Macaca mulatta: one gene and its partners. The protein of the gene in region 3 interacts with the protein of the main gene of each other region in a pairwise test. Links are inferred from orthologs where the notes say so. Each region holds a gene or a part of one and is shown on either strand. Other genes may lie near its edges.

Region 1 (6,022 bases), on a different chromosome or scaffold from region 3:
TCCGCCTCCTGGGTTTACGCCATTCTCCTGCCTCAGCCTCCCGAGTACCTGGGACTACAGGCGCCCACCACCATGCCAGGCTAGTTTTTTCTTTTTTTTTTTTTTTAGTAGAGATGGGGTTTCACCGTGTTAGCCAGGATGGCCTCGATCTCCTGACCTCGTGATCCGCCCATCTCGGCCTCCCAAAGTGCTGGGATTACAGGCTTGAGCCACCGTGCCCAGCCAAGTAGATTTTCAAATACAAGTTTATATACTGCTGGAACTCAACAGCCACAGGTTGCTAGTGGCAAAACCACTGGACAGCAAATTACAGATTTGTGTCATTGCAGAAAAGTTTACTGGAAAGAGCTGACCTAGATAGGTCCATAAACAGGGCAGAAAACTGGAAGCAGGCACTCTCCTGAAGCACAACTGAAGCTATCTTATCCATTTACAGACATCTTACAGAAAACTCTCCAAGCAATGAGCCGCAAACTACATCAATTAAAGTCATCTTGTACATACCCTGCGGGCCAGCAGCAGGCCAGTACAATATGCTGCAGCATAGTTTGTCAGGCCAACCTTCACACCGTATTTTGGCAGTTCGTGTGCATATGCTGCGCAGACTATCATATCCCCCTCTATACGGGCATAAGCAATCTACAGTAAGAGAAAAACTAGGTTAGTAATCTGTTGCTTTCACTCTCTCATTACATCTTAATGATTTCTTTTCAAAGGAATTAAAAAAACATTGATGGACATAAATGTGCATCACTTAAAATGCTTAAGACTCTTAGCTGGGTTACTAGTAAATTAGAGGTACTTAAAAAGTCAAAGAGGAATATCCAAATATTTCAATCATCTTTTGAACTAAACATAACTAAATTCGGCAAAGTCTCAGGAACCTAATGTTTAGTTATCTGAACTTGGGTACGGAGGAAGACAATGCCTTCACAATCAACAAATTATTGGCCCAGAACACAGGTGTGCCTACCTGCTACAAAATATCAATAAATCTTAACTCTCAGAATTTCTCCTAGTTGTAAAAGCCCAGGATTCTAGCTTTCAGAGTCCAGTGAGAGTGCTCCTGGTACAACAGCAAACTGACACTTCCTAAAGGTCTTTCATGCGGGAGCCACCTTTGTATATTTTATTAAAACCTATTTCAAAGAATAAGCAGAACAAGCTTAAATCCCTGTTTAACTCGCAACTACCTCTTCAGTGGTTAAGTGGCATACAAGGCCATATAGGAAAAATAAGGACAAACCCTATTCTTCTACTGGAATTGGGATGGGCAAGAACTTCTTACTTGCTTCTAATCTCCCCATCCCACACACATAAAACAAATCAGTCTCTTACTCTCTCGCCTAGGTTGGAGGGCAGAGGTGTGATCTCACTTCACTGCAGCCTCAACCTCGGGGCTCAAACAATCCTTCCACTGAGTGGCTGGGACTACAAGCGCGCCCCACCATGCCCAGCTAATTTTCTTACATTTTTTGTGAAGACAAACTCTCACTATATTGCCCAGGCTGGTCTGAAACTCCTGGGCTCAAGCAATCTTTCCAAAGTGCTGGGATTACAGGCATGAGCCACCGTGCCCAACCAAGAGCATTTTTTAAAGTACCAATTTCCCAGGCTCCAATTCTAGACTTACTAAAAGGAAAAGAAATTATTCACTGAATGCTTTTGGAGGTGCTAGACAGCCCTTCTAACACACACACCATGTGCTTTGCTTCCCAAGCACAATTTCTCTAGCAGTAAAAAAAAAAGGGGGGAATGTCTAGAATATAACTTACCTGACAAATGATATCTCTGTTTGTTACACGAACTATCATCCTGTATTTGGGTGTGTTGTATTTATTTTTATCCTGTATCACCAAGCGTTTCCGAGCATAGTAATCAGTTTTACCCTCTGAGAAAGAAAAAAGTAATTTTAGAAAAGATATTCCACTGCATCTGCAAAGCAGATTAATATTGTAAACACAAAAAGGTGACAGTACCTCGTCGTCTTCTAAATTTCACTTGGTATCTCTTAAAGTAGGCCTTATTCTTAACAACTTTAACAAACCCCTTAAAGAAAAAAGGATGTTATTAAAACTTTGATAATGTCTTAGCCTATGATACTTTTGACATGAATTAACCATGTAACAAAATAACACTCCAACTTCAAGAGCAAAAACAAACTGTCACTTGCAGAATCCCATGTTTCACAAGCAACTAGGGTTCAAGAATGTTTTTCCTCTACATTCCATGTCACAGACTGATAGTTTTATAAAACACAATAAAAACGAATCATTAGAGAAATATGGAATAAAAGAAACATACAAAATGCAGATCCCAATTTATTACATTTAAAGCTATAAAATTATTGTTACATTGCTTTCAAAAGGTTTAAACGCTCTCAATTTCCGTACTTTTTTCTTCGAGGACCAGCACCAGCAACTGTGCCAAACTTTTGCGAAGCACTGCTCTAGACAGCAGTCAGTGGCGCCAAACGTCAGTCTGTTCGGAACACGCTATGTCCCACTTCGAAAATCTAGCCTCAAATAACAACTACATACCTCTCTCGCTTCCCACGTATGTTTTTCAAAAGCCAAAATTACCTGCCACAAAGCTTAACTGGGTAAGAGCACATTCAGCAATAATTCCCCACTAAAACAGCACTGTTCCCCATCAGCTAAAGCAACATTTCATCCCACCCTTGGGGCCCTACCCCAATAATTAATAACTCGTCCGGCGACGGCCTCCAGAGGAAGAGACAGGAGGCACGTATTCCACGTTAAAGGAGTTTCCGGGGCCCAGGAACACCTCCGCCTCCAAGCTCCACTGACAATTTTGGCTTCAAAGCCACTTGCTTGGCCCACCAGCACAAGCTTCCTAAAAGACTCGCCCGCTCCGACATTCTCCCGGAAAAGCCACGAAGTACTCGGTACTCGGAGCTCGAGCGGGACCCGAGGACCTACAGCCCCCCTCCATTCCGGCGTTCTCCAGCTAGGCTGAGGCCGACTGCTTGCGACCTCTCACGCCAGGCCGCTTGCCAGCGCCCCCTCACACTAGACGGCAGTATCCCCACTCAGGCCGTCTAAACTCACCCTTCTCCCCAATCCGCAGTCCAAGCTCTCGCTACCCTTCTTCGCCAACCCCTCCCCCCAAGTTCGCGCACCGGGCGGCAGCCATTTAAGGCCACGCTGGGAGCTGCACCTCGACCTAGTCACAGCCAGCAATCTAACGCCATCCGGCCCCTGCGACGCGCGACACGGGCCCTAGGCTGGCGTACGGACAAGAAAAGGGAACCTCCGTGTATCTAGAGCCCCGAGACCGAGGCATAAACTCACCATCCTGCGGAACAGAGACCAGCGTCCGCGGGTCGACAGAGACCTGCAGGCCCAGCGGCGCTAGAGGGGGGGAAAAGGGCCACAGCTCTTGCGCAGGCGCAGTATGTAGCGCAGGCAGTCACGCCAGTGACGTGTGGAAGAGAGAAGGCGTCGGCCACAAAGCGTTTTACGTTCCGCCCCCTGCTGGCAGGAGGGTGAATGCCTGCACAAGCTGTCAAGGTTCCAACGCTCGGGGTATCTCATAGGATCCGTGCGGTGAGGAGGAGCAGGGAGGATTAGTGGAGCCTTTCGCTTTCTTTGCTACAGCGTTTTTGTTTTGTTTTGTTTTGTTTTGTTTTGTTTTGTTCTGTTCTGTTCTGTTCTGTTTTGTTCATAACAAACGTATTTTGCTTTTCTAAGCAAGAAAAAAAAATTAAATAGGGCAAGTTTGCTTGGGAGCCCTCTTGCCTTCTCTGGGCTACTCATCCTGGTCCAAGAGCAAACGGACCCACCCTCCCATCTCACCCCCAGGAAGCCTTCCCTGAGAGCCCCAAGCCTGGGATAGGGGCCACTCCTCTGCCTTCCTACGGCAGCTTTCTACCGGCTTCAGCCCACCACAGACTGTCAACTTTCCGAGGGTGGGCCCTGATGTCCACCTCTGACTCTCCAGCACCTAGCAGGGTATCAGCTGCTCACCATCAGGGCTGGAAGAAGGTACGGCCAACCAGGATGACAGGGTTAAGTGACTCCAAAACACTGCCACTAGGATAAATCAGAATTAGGGTGCCAATTACCTCTGATTCCAACTTGTAATTCCTTATATAACAGGAAAAATAAACAGAGTCCACTATGGCCGATGTCAACAGAGCTCTAGAGCAGAAAACTTAAAACACTTCTCACAGGAATTGTGATTCTATTTTTGCAGGGCCACCTTTGAAAGTGTAGAGAAAGACGTATTCAATTCGTATTTATAGAAAATATTTAAAAACCTTCATTTTGGTGGATTATCAAGTTATTAGCCTACCAAAAGGGCTCCATGTCTTGGTCAGGCCTTGCTTACATTGGAGGCAAAAGCACCAGGAAGGAAAGTCTGCCTGGATACAGGCCCGCTCCTAACTTTTGTGTGTTTTAGGACAAGGGTTCATGGGAAGACCCACATACCATTCATCTGAATATTTAGAAGTCATGGGCCGGGCACAGTAGCTCAGGCCAGGTGCGGTGGCTCACGCCTGTAATCCCAGCACTTTGGGAGGCTGAGGCAGGTGGATCACGAGGTCAAGCGATCGAGACCATCCTGGACAACAAGGTGAAACCCCATCTCTGCTAAAAATAAAAAAACTAGCCGGGCATGGTGACACGCACCTGTAGTACCAGCTACTCAGGAGGCTGAGACAGGAGAATCACTTGAACGAGGGGGGCAGAGGTTGCAGTGAGCTGAGATCGTGCCACTGCACTCCAGCCTGGTGACAGAGTGAGACTCCGTCTCAAAAAAAAAAAAAAAAAAAAAAAGTCATGAAGCAGGCTGGACGTGGTGGGTCAGGCCTGTAATCCTAGCACTTTGGGAGGCCAAGGCAGGAGGATCACTTAAACCCAGGAGTTGGAGACCGGCCTGGGAAACCTGGTGAGACCCTGTCTCTATAAAAAATAAAATCGAAGGCCGGGCACGGTGGCTCGAGCCTGTAATCCCAGCACTTTGGGAGTCCGAGACGGGCGGATCACGAGGTCAGGAGATGGAGACCATCCTGGCTAACACGGTGAAACCCCGTCTCTACTAAAAAATACAAAAAACTAGCTGGGCGAGGTGGCAGGCACCTGTAGTCCCAGCTACTCGGGAGGCTGAGGCAGGAGAATGGCGTGAACCTGGGAGGCAGAGCTTTCAGTGAGCTGAGATCCGGCCACTGCACTCCAGCCTGGGCGACAGAGCAAGACTCTGTCTCAAAAAAATAAATAAATAAAATAAAATCCAAACAAAGAAGTTATGAAACAAATAACATGTTAAATTAAATATACTTTATCATCCTTATCCCTCTCCTTTTTACCTTATAAATCCATAACAAGAAAATTAAAAATATGTATACCTGTTCCCCTTGGTCACAGTCAGGGGTCTATGGCTAGCATGGCTTGCTCAGCCAGTGCAGTTGGTGACACCAGGAGCCAGGGGGTAATTGTCCAGATCCTCAGATAACAGCACCTTATTCAAGTGGTAAAAGTTAAAAATCATCAACAGTGGGATGAATTAACATTATAGGTTCACACCTGTAATCCCAGCATTTTGGGAGGCTGAGCCAGGAGGATCGCTTCAGCCCAGGAGTTCGAGACCAGCCTGGGCACATAAGAAGACCCCTATCTCTAGGGAAAGAAAAAAGGAAAGGAAAGAAAAAATAAATTAACATGATATGCCTCCTGATGCGCCGAGAAGAACACAAAAGCATTTCCTACCAAATTTACATAATCTAATCTAAAATAGTTATCTAATATGTACCAACCAATTCTAATCATGATGAAACTACATGTAAACCCAAATTTAGATAATTCTACAAAGTAACTGGCCTGTTCTCTTCAAAAATGACAAGATCATGAGAGATAAGGAAAGCCTAAACAATATTCCAGACTGAAAGAGACCAAAGTGACACGACAACTGTCTGCAATGTGTGATTCCATATTGCATCCTGGACAAGACAGGAAAAAGGGAAATAAGAAGGCTTTGTATTTCTTTTGTTCAAAGGACA
Region 2 (6,135 bases), on a different chromosome or scaffold from region 3:
GCTGGAAGAGGAGTCAGTGTTGGGTAAAAGGAAGTTCAAACCAACAGAAAATAGTTTTTAACATAAATAGGAGAAAAATAATTCTGTAAAAATAGAAACACGGTGGAGTTGAAGCCTGCTTCTCTTCTTATACTGGGTTTTGCTCAGGCATTTGTTTGCTCCTCTCCACATGCTCTTACCCTTAAAAACACACCACCGCCCTAGTCTCTTCAGTGTGGATTAAAAACAACCACTGCCTCCTGAGGTTTTCTTCAATCCCACAATTACTCCTCTGTGCAAGGAGTTATGCACTGGAGACACCAAAATGACCAAGGCTGGGTCTCAAGGGGCTCACCAGCAAATGGGGACGTAGACAGACAACTAAATATCATGAGGGTTGTGATACAACAGTGAAGACGTGCTACCTGTATCTGGCTCTAGTTCTGTGCAATCACAGAATTTTAACATTAAGGTTGGTGATCCCAACTGCCTCTTTACAAATTAGGAAAATAAGGCTCCCAAAAGTTACGTGAAATATCTAAGGTGATACAGTCATGAAGGGTTACCCTGGCTATTATAACTGGCTCTACTAGCAAACCTATTCAACGCTTTTCATCAGCACTTTGCTCACTATGCAATCATCACTCTTTTCTGAATGAAGGGAGGATAGTGGAAACGAAGATGAGAGTGTTATCCATATCAGAATGGGCTGACGGGCAAATCTTGGGAGCAGAAAGTATAATAAATCACAAGTGTGAGATAAATTCCAAATACTAAGGAAAGGGAACAAAGTGGGTTCTTGTTGCTGAATCTAGGAATCTCTAAATTACGCTTATAGCTCTAATGTAGATTATCAAAACTGACCCAAATCTACACAAATTCCTAAAGTTGCAGATAAAAGATAAAAATTTGCTTTAATGATCTTCCTAGAATCTAAAACAGCACATTTCTAAGGAGTACAATAACACCTTTTAGAAGGGTGCTAGGGTAAAGACTAGGAAGTCTGGAAAAAAAGTTTCCTTCTGCTGTCACCTGACCTCTAAGTGGGTTTTAACACCTCATAAACAAAATACAAAGGTCTAGCCTAGAATACTTTCCTGAACCCAAAGTACAGCTGTTTGCAAATATGCAAGACTGATCCTGTAGTAGCAGAATACTTGCTATAATTAGAAAGTTTATGATGAAATGTGTCATTTATAGCCTATACTTTGACCTACATTAAAATATCTCAGTAAAGTTTATTTGTTGCAAAGTTTCAATCATTATTTCAGGTTATACATTTCCACTTACTGCTTAAATGTTTTTCCTTCGGGGAGGAAATAGCTTTTTGGGAGAGAAATCTTTTGAAAATACCCTTTGGGAACATTATTTTTAAACTGAAAAGGAACTAAGTGAAAGTTTAGTTTCCTTTAAACTAAAGGAATTTATTTAGGAGATAAAATGTTTAGCAAAACTTGTATTGCAAAAAAAAAAAAAAAAAAAAAAAAAAAGTCTCTTGGATCAGTTAAAAAATGCTTCCCAAACTGGAAACTATGATTCCTAAGTGAGGGTAGGGGCAGCTGTACTGCTGGCAAATAAACTAGATACTTTTAAAGCCTAATATGTTTTGTTTGTTTGTTTTTGAGACAGGGTCTCATTCTGTCACCCAAGCTAGAGTATCGTGGCAGTGGCAGGAAAAAGGCTCACTGTAGCCTCGACCTCCTGGGCTCAAGGGATCCTCCCACCTCAGCCTCCTGAGTAGCTGGAGGCCACCATGCCTGGTCACTTTATTTTAATTTTTAATTGTAGAGATAGGGTCTTGCGATGTTGCCTAGGCAGGTCTCAAACTCTTGGGCTCAAGTGATCCATATAAAATAAGTGGGTCATGTCTAATAACAAGGTCTTTCAAAAGTAAAAGGTAAAAATATCTGAATCCAATTGTTGTAAATCCTCTTTGAAACAAGCCCTTAGAATAAAAGACAAAAGAGCATAAATTGAGAAATCTCTTGATTCTGGTAGGTTTAAAGTCTCATCCCCCCTCAAGGACAGCAATTCTCTTTATGTTCTCCAATTCTCTCATTTTTCAAGACAAGTCAGTTTTCAAACTACAGAAATGTCTGTTTTCTTTAACTACCCTCAATAAAGAACTCCACTGAAGATGCTCTCACAGTAATTTTAAATGCCCTATCTGAAAATACAACTTGCATTTAAACAGCACTTGCTTTTCAAAGTGGTCTGAGATCTTAGAACCATATAAAATATAACAAGAGTAAGCTGTTCTGAAACATTTTGCTTGGTCTAATATTTTAACTCCAAATATCACAGAAAGAGGACATATTTGTAAGAGGGTTCTCCACAAAGGCATGACTCAGAGCAGGGCAGTATCTTCTCCAGGAAATGACATCCGATATGGAGAGGGGGGTGTAATGGAGGTGAAGTTCTACATTTCTGAAAAAAGGGCTTACAATTCTTCGGCTTCCATGAAACTTAGATATTCTTGAATCACACTGTCCCCTTCAAGCCACGCTAGTGCTATCTGACCCGTCTTAGATCAATCCAGATTTAAAAGCCATTCGAAGAGCGGCGGTAAGCTAATCCGGAAATGCAATGGCTGTGAACACTTTCCTGTGTACCTCGAGGAGAACTAAGGGTGTCGTTTTGTGGAAGATGACTCCGGAGCATCACTTTGATGGTGACCAAGACTATTAAAGTTCACTGCTGAATCACGGCCTTTACTCTGTCCACCTTGCGATGAGCTTTTAGAACAGGGGCTGGCCACACAAACCGAAGTGTTTCCTGCTAGTTCCCAACAATCACCCGGTTTTATTTTCCTGGTCACACCCATCACTACCTGAAATTACCTTGTTTACCTCCGTTTATTGCCCATTTCTCTCCCTAGAACACCAACCACCCGGCGCCGGGCGCCTGTTGCACAACCCCTCAGCCCTCAGGAGCCGCAACAGGATCGTGGCTCCGCGTTCCTCCGGCGCCCGGGCAGGGCGACCTCCACCCACTCCCCAAGGCAGGGGACTTTCCAAGGCTTCTGGCGGGCGCCCGTCCAGTCCCAATCCCGAAGTCGGCTCCCGGAGGCCGCAGCGCGGCCCCGGCCTTGCGTGCAGCGCTTACCCATCACCTGGACCCTGCAGATGGCGCACGTATCGCACTCAACGTCCCAGCTCCACATGGCCACCGCGTTCCACTTCTTGAGGGAGAACATCTTGTCGCCTCCCGACTTGGAGCCTGAGCTCCCGGAGTGAGACGCCAGGGCGCAGGTTTCCTCTCCGTCTTCCACGTCGGCCATGGCGGCGCCGCGGAGCCGACGGCGGAGACGTTGGCTTGGGGTAGGCGGGAGGCTAGGGCGGCTCTGCCGGGCCGCCCGACGGGCCACAGCGCCGCCCGCAGGCCGCAGGCCACCGTGGTGCCCAGACCCCGGCCACCCACGATTGGCTGGCGCGGCCCAGTGACGTCACCGGACGCCAGCGGCGGGGGGGCAGGCAGGCCCCGCCCCCGCCCTCCTGGGGCGACCGAGCGGGCTTGGGGCTTCTCGGGGCTACGCTGCCGAATCCGCCTGCCGCGCTGCGGGGTGTTACGTCTGAGCAGGCGCACAGATTGTGCTGGAATGTGTGTCCTGCTTTATGGCTTCATTAAAACTACTGCTCTCAGAAATAATCTTGTTAATTTACTTGTTTGTCTTTTCCCTCCCAAGTGTAAAACTCTATCAGAGCAGGGAATATGTTCTTATCACCACATTGTCCTCGGTATCTACAAAATGCCTGGCCACAAGAGGCACAATTATTTCTTGAGTGAATTAATGATCTTAAAGATCTAGAAATCTGGCTCAGTGATTCTCAGACTTTTTGGTCTCAGGACTCCTTTTCACTTAAAAATTATTAGTCCCTTAAAGAGCTTTTATTTATGTAGGAAATGTATAAATATATATATACACACACACATATGTATGAATATATATACATATATACAATGAATATATGTACATTCATGTATAATGAATATTCATACATTTCCTGTATATGTATACACACGTACATAGAGATTAATGTTTCTTTTTAAGAAATTAAAACATATTTTTAAATGTATTCATTAAAAATCACAGTAATAACCTCATTAGAGGTTATCATTAGAGGGATAACTTCACATACCATGTAATTTCTAGAAACTCCCGTGTACACTCGTAGAATGAGAGTGAAAAGAGAGAAATAGCTCTAAATATTGTTAGGCAACTAGTTTGCCCTCTTTTGACCCCTAAAAGAGGTCAGGATCCCAGGAGTCCCGGTGTGTGGCGACACAACCCACACGTATTTTTCAGGCCCTGCTTCCTCATCTGCAGAGTCTCCATTCCTTCTGCTCAGTACATTTGAGCTAGTTTAACTTCCTCTTTTTATATGTAGGACTAATGAGGTCCGAAGAAGTGAAATGACAAAGATCACATTGTTATTACAGTAGTGCTTCTACTGCTAGCCCACCATCACATGTGTTTCCAAGAAAGCAGGCATCTCCACTGAAAAGAAAGCAGAAGCACAGACAGCCTAAGGAGATGCCTGATCCCACCGTCACCTAGTGGTGGACACCTACTCTGTCAAGTTTGGATTCTGAGCCTCTCGCCATCCCCTCATCTCCTGATACCTGGGCAAAAGGTAACCAGGCCAATGGAACCTGGCAGGGGAAACAAGAATGCATTAATCTATAGAAACATAAATATGGACGCAGGGTCACATTCGGTTAGATGGAAATGTGTATTTGTTGAGTGGTGTGTTAAGGGCTGTGAGGGTGCAGGATGCAGTGAGGGAAAGCCTCATGGGAGAGGTGAAGTTTGAACTGGGGGAACATGGGAGGCCTTCAGGGCCTTCAGGGCCAGTGGAGAGAGCAAACCTCTCTGAGCTGTTGGGCAGAGCAGAGCACAATGGTGGTGGCAGACAGGAATTGGACCACACCAACTTTATAAGCCAGACACCCATTGGAGTGAGCACACAAAACATGTGTTCCCTTCTTACTGAACGACCACACATCTGCCTAGAGATGGCTGTAAATGCTAGGTATCTAACAAAGAGAAGGATAAAACGCACCCAGTTGGTGAGAAGTTTGAAAGACAAAAGGATGAAATGGTGAAAAGGGAGAAGGATGGCTTTGCTGGAGGAATGGTATGTGCCCTTGCTGAGCCATGAAATCTGGAGAGAGGTGTCGGCTGCGGTGAAATTTGAGAATAGAAGCCAGGCGGGAGCATAGGGGCGGGAAGTGGAAGGCGGATTGGGGAGATGAGTATGGTTTTGACACACTGCATGTCAGGAGAACTTTTTCTCCTGACAAAGAGAACAGGAATGAGTGATGCACTGGAGTTCAGTGCAACAAGCAAGCATGCATGGGGAGAAGGGAAAGCAGGAGTGAGGTGGAAAGTTCAGGCTGCAGCAGCTGTTCAGGCGTGGCGGGGCCAATGGGTCTCCTGTGATTTCCCTCCTTTGGTTCACCTTCATGAGAGCTTGTCTGCCATCATGAGCACCCAAAGGGCAGGAACTATAGGCGGCCTTGAATGCAGCAAAACAAATATCTGTCCTCCTCATGGCCTGCTCAGTTCCCACTCCACCACTGTGCGTTGTTCCTCTCACCAGTCCTTGGTGTGTGGGGACACAACCCACACTTATTTTTCAGCCCCCGCTTCCTCAGCTGCACAGTCTCCATTCCTTCTGCTCAGTACATTGAAGACGTAGTTTCTTTAATTTTGAGGACTTCTCTTAAGCAAAATATTTAAGGACTAACTGATAAATATTTAGGAAAAGTTTGTCTCAGTACAAGTGGACATTTTTGTTATTTCTTTGGTCCTCACTCCAACCATCATTTCCCCCTTCTGTGCCATTCATCTTTAACAAAATAAGTTTTCCTGTTGTCAGGGAAGTAAAACTTTCCCTCTACCCTCTTAGGTTCAGTATTTGGGGGGATTGCAAATTAAACCAACAAAACACAGATTAGCAGGAGAAAAGATAGATTTTTATTAACCAAAGTAGTCAGAGTTCACAGAAAGTTATGACTCAAGGGGCAATTAGAATTTGGGGCTTATACACTGTCTAAATAAAGGAAAGGGAGAAGGAGAAAGGGCACTTCTGGAAAATAACTTTCAGAAAAGATAAACAGGCCTTTGGGAGAATAGATAGGAGATATGATAGT
Region 3 (5,413 bases):
CTGTCCTGGTTTTCAATCTGGGGAGGGTGGGCTGGGCCATGAGGGCCCCTGGAGTCCAACACACCATCACCTTCCCTTCCCCAACCGCAAGCACCAGCAGACTAGCTCATGGCCTTTTCTTCCACTTTATTTCATATTCCCACCACAATAATGACTCCTTTAATTTAAACTAAAAACCATACAGGGTTCCTGAAAGGGTGGCAAAAAGGAAAGGAAGTACAGGACAGGTGGGGTAGGGAATCAGCGAATCGTCTTGACTGGGCTCTTGAAGTTGCTGGCGGCTTGGAGCTGCAGCTGGTAGGCCATCGGATGAATCTTGAAACCGTAGAGCCTGGACCAGGGCAGAGGTCAGAGAGGCAGTAGCATGAGCCCCATCCAGACCCTGCTAGTCACCTGCATTCCCACCTCCCCACCTGAACTCCTCCATGGACCTGCTCAGAGCTTAAGCCTAGTGGTTCCCAACTTCTCAGCTCAAGAACATTCTATGATAAGGTAACTGAAGCACAGACAATCAAATAACTTTCCCACAGTCACTCCGCAGGGAGATGCCGATTCTGGGAGAAGCAGGCCTCAAAAAAGGGCCATGCCCCATCCTCCCCTCTCTCTGGGGGATCTTAGGCCTTTCCTTTTACCCTTAATGACTCTCCCTGCTCCCTACCTGGGCACAAACTGGTTGGCGGGTCTCTTGGGCCGGTACTCGGGATGCACCATGAAGAGCATGTGAGGGAAACCAGTGCCAAAGTAGGCGCCATCCGTGTGATGGTGTCTCGATGACTTGGGTGTGTACACATCCATGCACTTGGGGCAGTAGAGCTTCACCATGGCTTCACCTGGGATGTCTGAAAGGCCTGGGAGACAGCCAGACTCAGGAGGCCAGGTATCTCCCTGTTCCTACTTAACCTCCCCTCAGGACTCAGGCCCCAACATGCTGAGCCCTAACTCCTTCCCGTAAGACTGCCACAAGGTGCCTTCCTTTCCCTTCTTCAACACTCACCGATGGGAAGCATTGGCTGGTTCTCACAGTACACACGAGGACAGTAACCAAAGTCTCCCTGCTGGTACTTTTCCAACTGAGGTGAATAAAATGGAAGGGGTTGGCAGGTAGGTGTGAAGAGAAGAGGCAACTCCCTTCTCAGCTCAACCCATATCACTCTGTCCCCCACTCCTCCCACCTCTGTCCAGAGGCCCCTTCTCTGGCCCAGATGGGCTCTCAAACTCCTATGTTGCCTTTCTTCCAGTTAGGCAGGCTACAAACCATCAGAGCCATTTGTTGTTTGTTCCCTGAGGAAGAGGCAGTCTATCACAACTCTCTGTTCAAGGACTGTCTCCCTCCCTGAAAATTATCCCTTCAGGATGACCCCCAATCAGAATTCAATTCCCAGGCCCAAGCCTGGGGTTCTTCTCCTCTTCTCAGCCAGTTTCCTTAAACAAGGCTTAAACATGACTTCTTGCTGCAGGAACCTGTGTCCCTTACTGCTCAGAAGGAGGCAATTAGGAGCAGAGAGGCCTCACCATCTGGGCAATGCCACGGTTGGTAAGGATGTAGCGGGCGTGGATCAATCCATAAAGCATCTCGGCAGCCTGCTCAATCAGGTCACTCTGGTTGGGGTTGTCTTCCAGTTCTTCATCTGAAACACAGCCCGGCCAAATGCAACCACTTGTTTTTCAGCTTTCCTAGGTGCCCTGCCCATATCCAGGGGGTGCGGACTATTCAGTTCGCCTGGCACCTACTTTTGGGCCTTACCCCATCCAACATCTGGGCATGTGACCCAGAAACCTGGGCTTCTGACCCTTGCGCCAACCCAAGACAGCTCTGTCTTCTCTTCACACCTCTTTAGCCTCCGCTCCCCACTCTCCCTCCCAGCTCCCTCCCCAATACATAACTGCAACAATGTCAATGCAAAAGATGAAACTCTAGACTGGAAGGTGCAAAGCAGGAGAAATAGCAAACCAGACCCATGAGGAAACATATTTTGGAAAACATCTGAATTGTGGATTTAGAAAACATGGGAACAAGTGATATACGTCACAAAACTAGACACAGTCAGGTGGAGGATCAAAATAAAGCATGAATTTGGGGTTAAAGAAATCAGAGAACCAAAGGAAATTTCAAAATTCAAGTAAGTGAATATAGATTTGAAGAGAAAAAAAGTGCATGCACACACACAAAACAACCCTGAGGGTGCCTCACCAGGCTCCAGGTCCAAGATCATGTCTAGAGCTTGTCGATAGTGAGGAACCTGCTCATTGAGTCCAGTAAGATTAAATTTGTCCTGAATGTAGTCTTCATCCACCTGTGGGGACATGGAAGCCAAGAGGGAACCCATATCAAAATCCCCATCTTTGACCTGGGCAAAATGCTCTAACTGATGCCTTATCATCAACACAACTGCATCTGTTCCGCTTGTTTCTCACTCCCAACTCAGCAGAAGTACTTGCGTCTCTCCCTAGTTCACCTATACTCCCTCCCATAAAGCTTTGGCTTTTCTTTTCTAAGGATAAGCAGGTACAGCAATCTTTTTCTTAGACATTCTTTTCAAGATCTCTGTCCCTACTCCTGTACTCCATCTCTAGGAACCAGTTTTGTCCTCTCAGCTGGCTGAGGAGGATGGAAGCTGAACGGCATGGTTTCTGAACAAAACATTTCAATACGTAGCATTTCAATTTTCCTAACAGCCAGCTGAGACATGTACTAGCAGTACAACTTTAGTAATAAAAGATACAGGCTGGGCGCAATGGCTTATGCCTGTAATCCCAGCACTTTGGGAGGCTGAGGCGGGCAGATCACCTGAGGTCTGGAGTTTGAGACCAGCCTGGCCAACATGGTGAAACCCTGTCTCTACTAAAAATCCAAAAATTAGCCGGGTGTGGTGGCGGGTACTTGTAATCCCAGCTACTTGGGTGGCTGGAGCAGGAGAATCGCTTGAACCTGGGAGGCAGAGGTCGCAGTGAGCCGAGATCGCACCACTACACTCCAGCCTGGGCGACACAGTGAGACCCAGTCTCAAAAAAAAGATAAAGAAAAAGACACAAATTGCCTGCTGGAGGGTGGCAGAGTCAAAACTTGGGCCCCAGTTTTGCCACTTTAGCACAGGTTCGTCGGGGGTTATTGAGGGGACTCTTCGTTGATGGGAAGTTTTCAAGTAGTATGTAAGAGAACAGTGTAGAAGTGGAATACGTGAAGGAACATCTGGTGGGAAGATATGTGAAGCCAGCAAGTAGGGAGGTCGAAGAGAACTCACTTCACAGAAGAATTCATTGCCACGGAGCCCACAGAACCAGGAAATCCAGGACACCTCCTCTGAGCTGCTCATCTTCACGTCAGCTGAAAAAAAGAGTGTCAGTAAAGCTCAAGTTCTCCTTCCCTGCCTCGGGTATCCTCCCTCCTCCCACATTAGAACCACCCTTTCTTAAAGGATCCCAAACTCTGAAGCACTCCTCTCCAACTCCTCCAATTTACATCTCAGTTCCCTTTTCTTTGACGTTAAACATTCTTTGGGGTCCCACCACTTGAAAGAAGCCAACAGATACTTTGACCCACCAGCCCGACCCACGTCCCTGGAGCTCCCGAAAGCCAGGGCCCTCTCTTCTCTGTGTCAACTCCGGCAGGGACCTCGACTCAGGCTCCGTACCAATGCAAGTCTCTGCACGACCCCGGCGCCTTTCCCAAGGATTTCAAAGTTTATCACTCTCAAGCAAGAATCGGGCCCCTCCTTTTCTCAAGGGTTGGGGGCGACTGTCAGGTCCCTTTCACCGGATTCCACACATCCCCCCTCCGCTCCTCAAGCCACCTCTCCCTCCTTGCCGGACCTGGTTGCTTCCTCCCCCCGCCCCCATATCAAAGTGCGGAGACCCATGTGCGGCTCCCAGCGACAAGCGACTAGGAGCAGCGAAGACCTCAGACTCACCAGCTGGACGGGGACCAGGACTGGGGTGGGGTAGGGAAGTTGCTACTTCGAAGGAACGGCGGCGACCGCTACAGCGCAGGCCGCGGACCCGACCGCGGCAGGCGAAGTGGGGTGGGGGGAGTGGAAATTGGGGAGGGTGGGGAAGAGGGCAACACGCAAGCGCCAAGGGTCAGGTGCCGCGGTGGATGCCGGGACGCGGAGTCCCCGGTAGAGAGAGAAACCGGCTAAGTGAGGGAAAGCGAACTACCAATCCCAGGATGACCCGCGCACGACCTGGCTGTCACGAATCCCCGGAGGAGGACGCTTGCGGGCGGGGCGCAACGAGAAGCCACCGGAAGCGGAAACCAGGTATGGCGTTCGGGGCCTGGGAGCCTGGGCAATACAGTTGTGTGCTCACTGGGCGAAGAAGCTGACTTAGGGCGGGGAAAGGAGGGAGCCAGGCTGGACCCCTCCTCGCAGCTCTCCTCACAGTTGCCCTCTAGTCCCGGCGCGGTGCTGCTTCCCTGGGGACTGGCCTATCCTTGGCCAATGCGCTGGGTCCTTATTGCCTGTTGGGCCCCTAGTGCGAGTCAGTCCCGCCAGAGACCCTTGACGGGCCTTCTGTTTTACTCCGGGCTCCGGCCTCATGAGGCGAGAGGTGCGGCTTGGCTCCGTGCGTAGGGACTTGGGTTGGGAGGGCTGGGCTGGGCTGGGCTGTGTGAGAACCAGAACGGCCCAGTGCGCTAACCTGAGGTGGTGCCAGCCATTCTGCTCGTCCCCTTGCACTTCTCCATTTCCCCTTAGTCTCTAAGTGTGACCTTCGAACCCTGGTCAGAGTAATGGTGAGGGGCAGGCGTGACGTTATTTCATTACACGGCTTCTCGGCATTCCACAGGTTTCCCTCCGCCTCCTGAGGGCCTTTCCTAACCCAGAGAGTGGATTCCTAGCTCCAGAAAATGGGCTTGGAGCGGGGGCCACGTAGAGGAAGGCGAAGGGCATTGTGGGGGCGTTATGTAAAAGTAGGACCCCAACCGACAGATCCTAGCGCTCGCGCCACCTGGGCGCGCGGAGCTTTGCTCGTTTACTATTGGAAAAGTTCCAGCGCGGGAAACTGAACCGGGAGCTTTGCGCACGCCTGAGCCATCAAGTAATGTGGGTGGTGGTTTTTGTTGTTGTTGTCGCCACGCATGCGTCTCCGTGCCGTGTGGCTATTTGATTGTGTCAACTCTGCTGATCAGAATAGCGCCATTTTGCGGTACGGAAGCTACACGGCAACACGTATAGGAGCCTCTCCCCGAGATCTTCTAGGGAGTGACCCGTCTATTTTTGTTTGGGAAGAGGAAACTCCGAAATGGGATCACGGAAGACTTAAAGGGCCAGGTTTGATTTTTTTTTTTCCTACTGGTATGTCTGTTTTACGGGGTGAGAAAGTGATTTCAGAAAGAGGCTGGTATTTATTGTTGGTAAGGATGGGGGTGGGGGCCGGACGCAGGACCTCTGGACGACTGTCTCATGGAGTTTGATTA

Evidence for each region. The genes of interacting proteins can lie anywhere in the genome.
Region 1: the proteins of CSNK2B (region 3) and RPL5 interact in a two-hybrid assay, tested with the Homo sapiens proteins (5 studies listed by BioGRID and IntAct). The link is inferred for Macaca mulatta from reciprocal best matches to the Homo sapiens genes CSNK2B and RPL5.
Region 2: the proteins of CSNK2B (region 3) and RNF7 interact in a two-hybrid assay, tested with the Homo sapiens proteins (2 studies listed by BioGRID). The link is inferred for Macaca mulatta from reciprocal best matches to the Homo sapiens genes CSNK2B and RNF7.

Annotation. Positions count from the first base shown.
Region 1 is NC_133406.1:147,476,410-147,482,431, forward strand, and holds the start of RPL5 (large ribosomal subunit protein uL18), read right to left. Parts: upstream 3,393-6,022; 5' UTR 3,318-3,392; coding exon 3,315-3,317; exon of another isoform or gene 3,072-3,314; intron 2,050-3,071; coding exon 1,980-2,049; intron 1,892-1,979; coding exon 1,776-1,891; intron 640-1,775; coding exon 505-639; intron 1-504.
Region 2 is NC_133407.1:44,726,783-44,732,917, reverse strand, and holds the start of RNF7 (RING-box protein 2), read right to left. Parts: upstream 3,393-6,135; 5' UTR 3,260-3,392; coding exon 3,085-3,259; intron 1-3,084. UniProt on the Homo sapiens protein: Catalytic component of multiple cullin-5-RING E3 ubiquitin-protein ligase complexes (ECS complexes), which mediate the ubiquitination and subsequent proteasomal degradation of target proteins.
Region 3 is NC_133409.1:150,651,763-150,657,175, forward strand, and holds CSNK2B (casein kinase II subunit beta), read right to left. Parts: upstream 3,956-5,413; 5' UTR 3,909-3,955; intron 3,326-3,908; 5' UTR 3,315-3,325; coding exon 3,243-3,314; intron 2,295-3,242; coding exon 2,192-2,294; intron 1,629-2,191; coding exon 1,513-1,628; intron 1,071-1,512; coding exon 995-1,070; intron 849-994; coding exon 659-848; intron 332-658; coding exon 241-331; 3' UTR 220-240; downstream 1-219. UniProt on the Homo sapiens protein: Regulatory subunit of casein kinase II/CK2.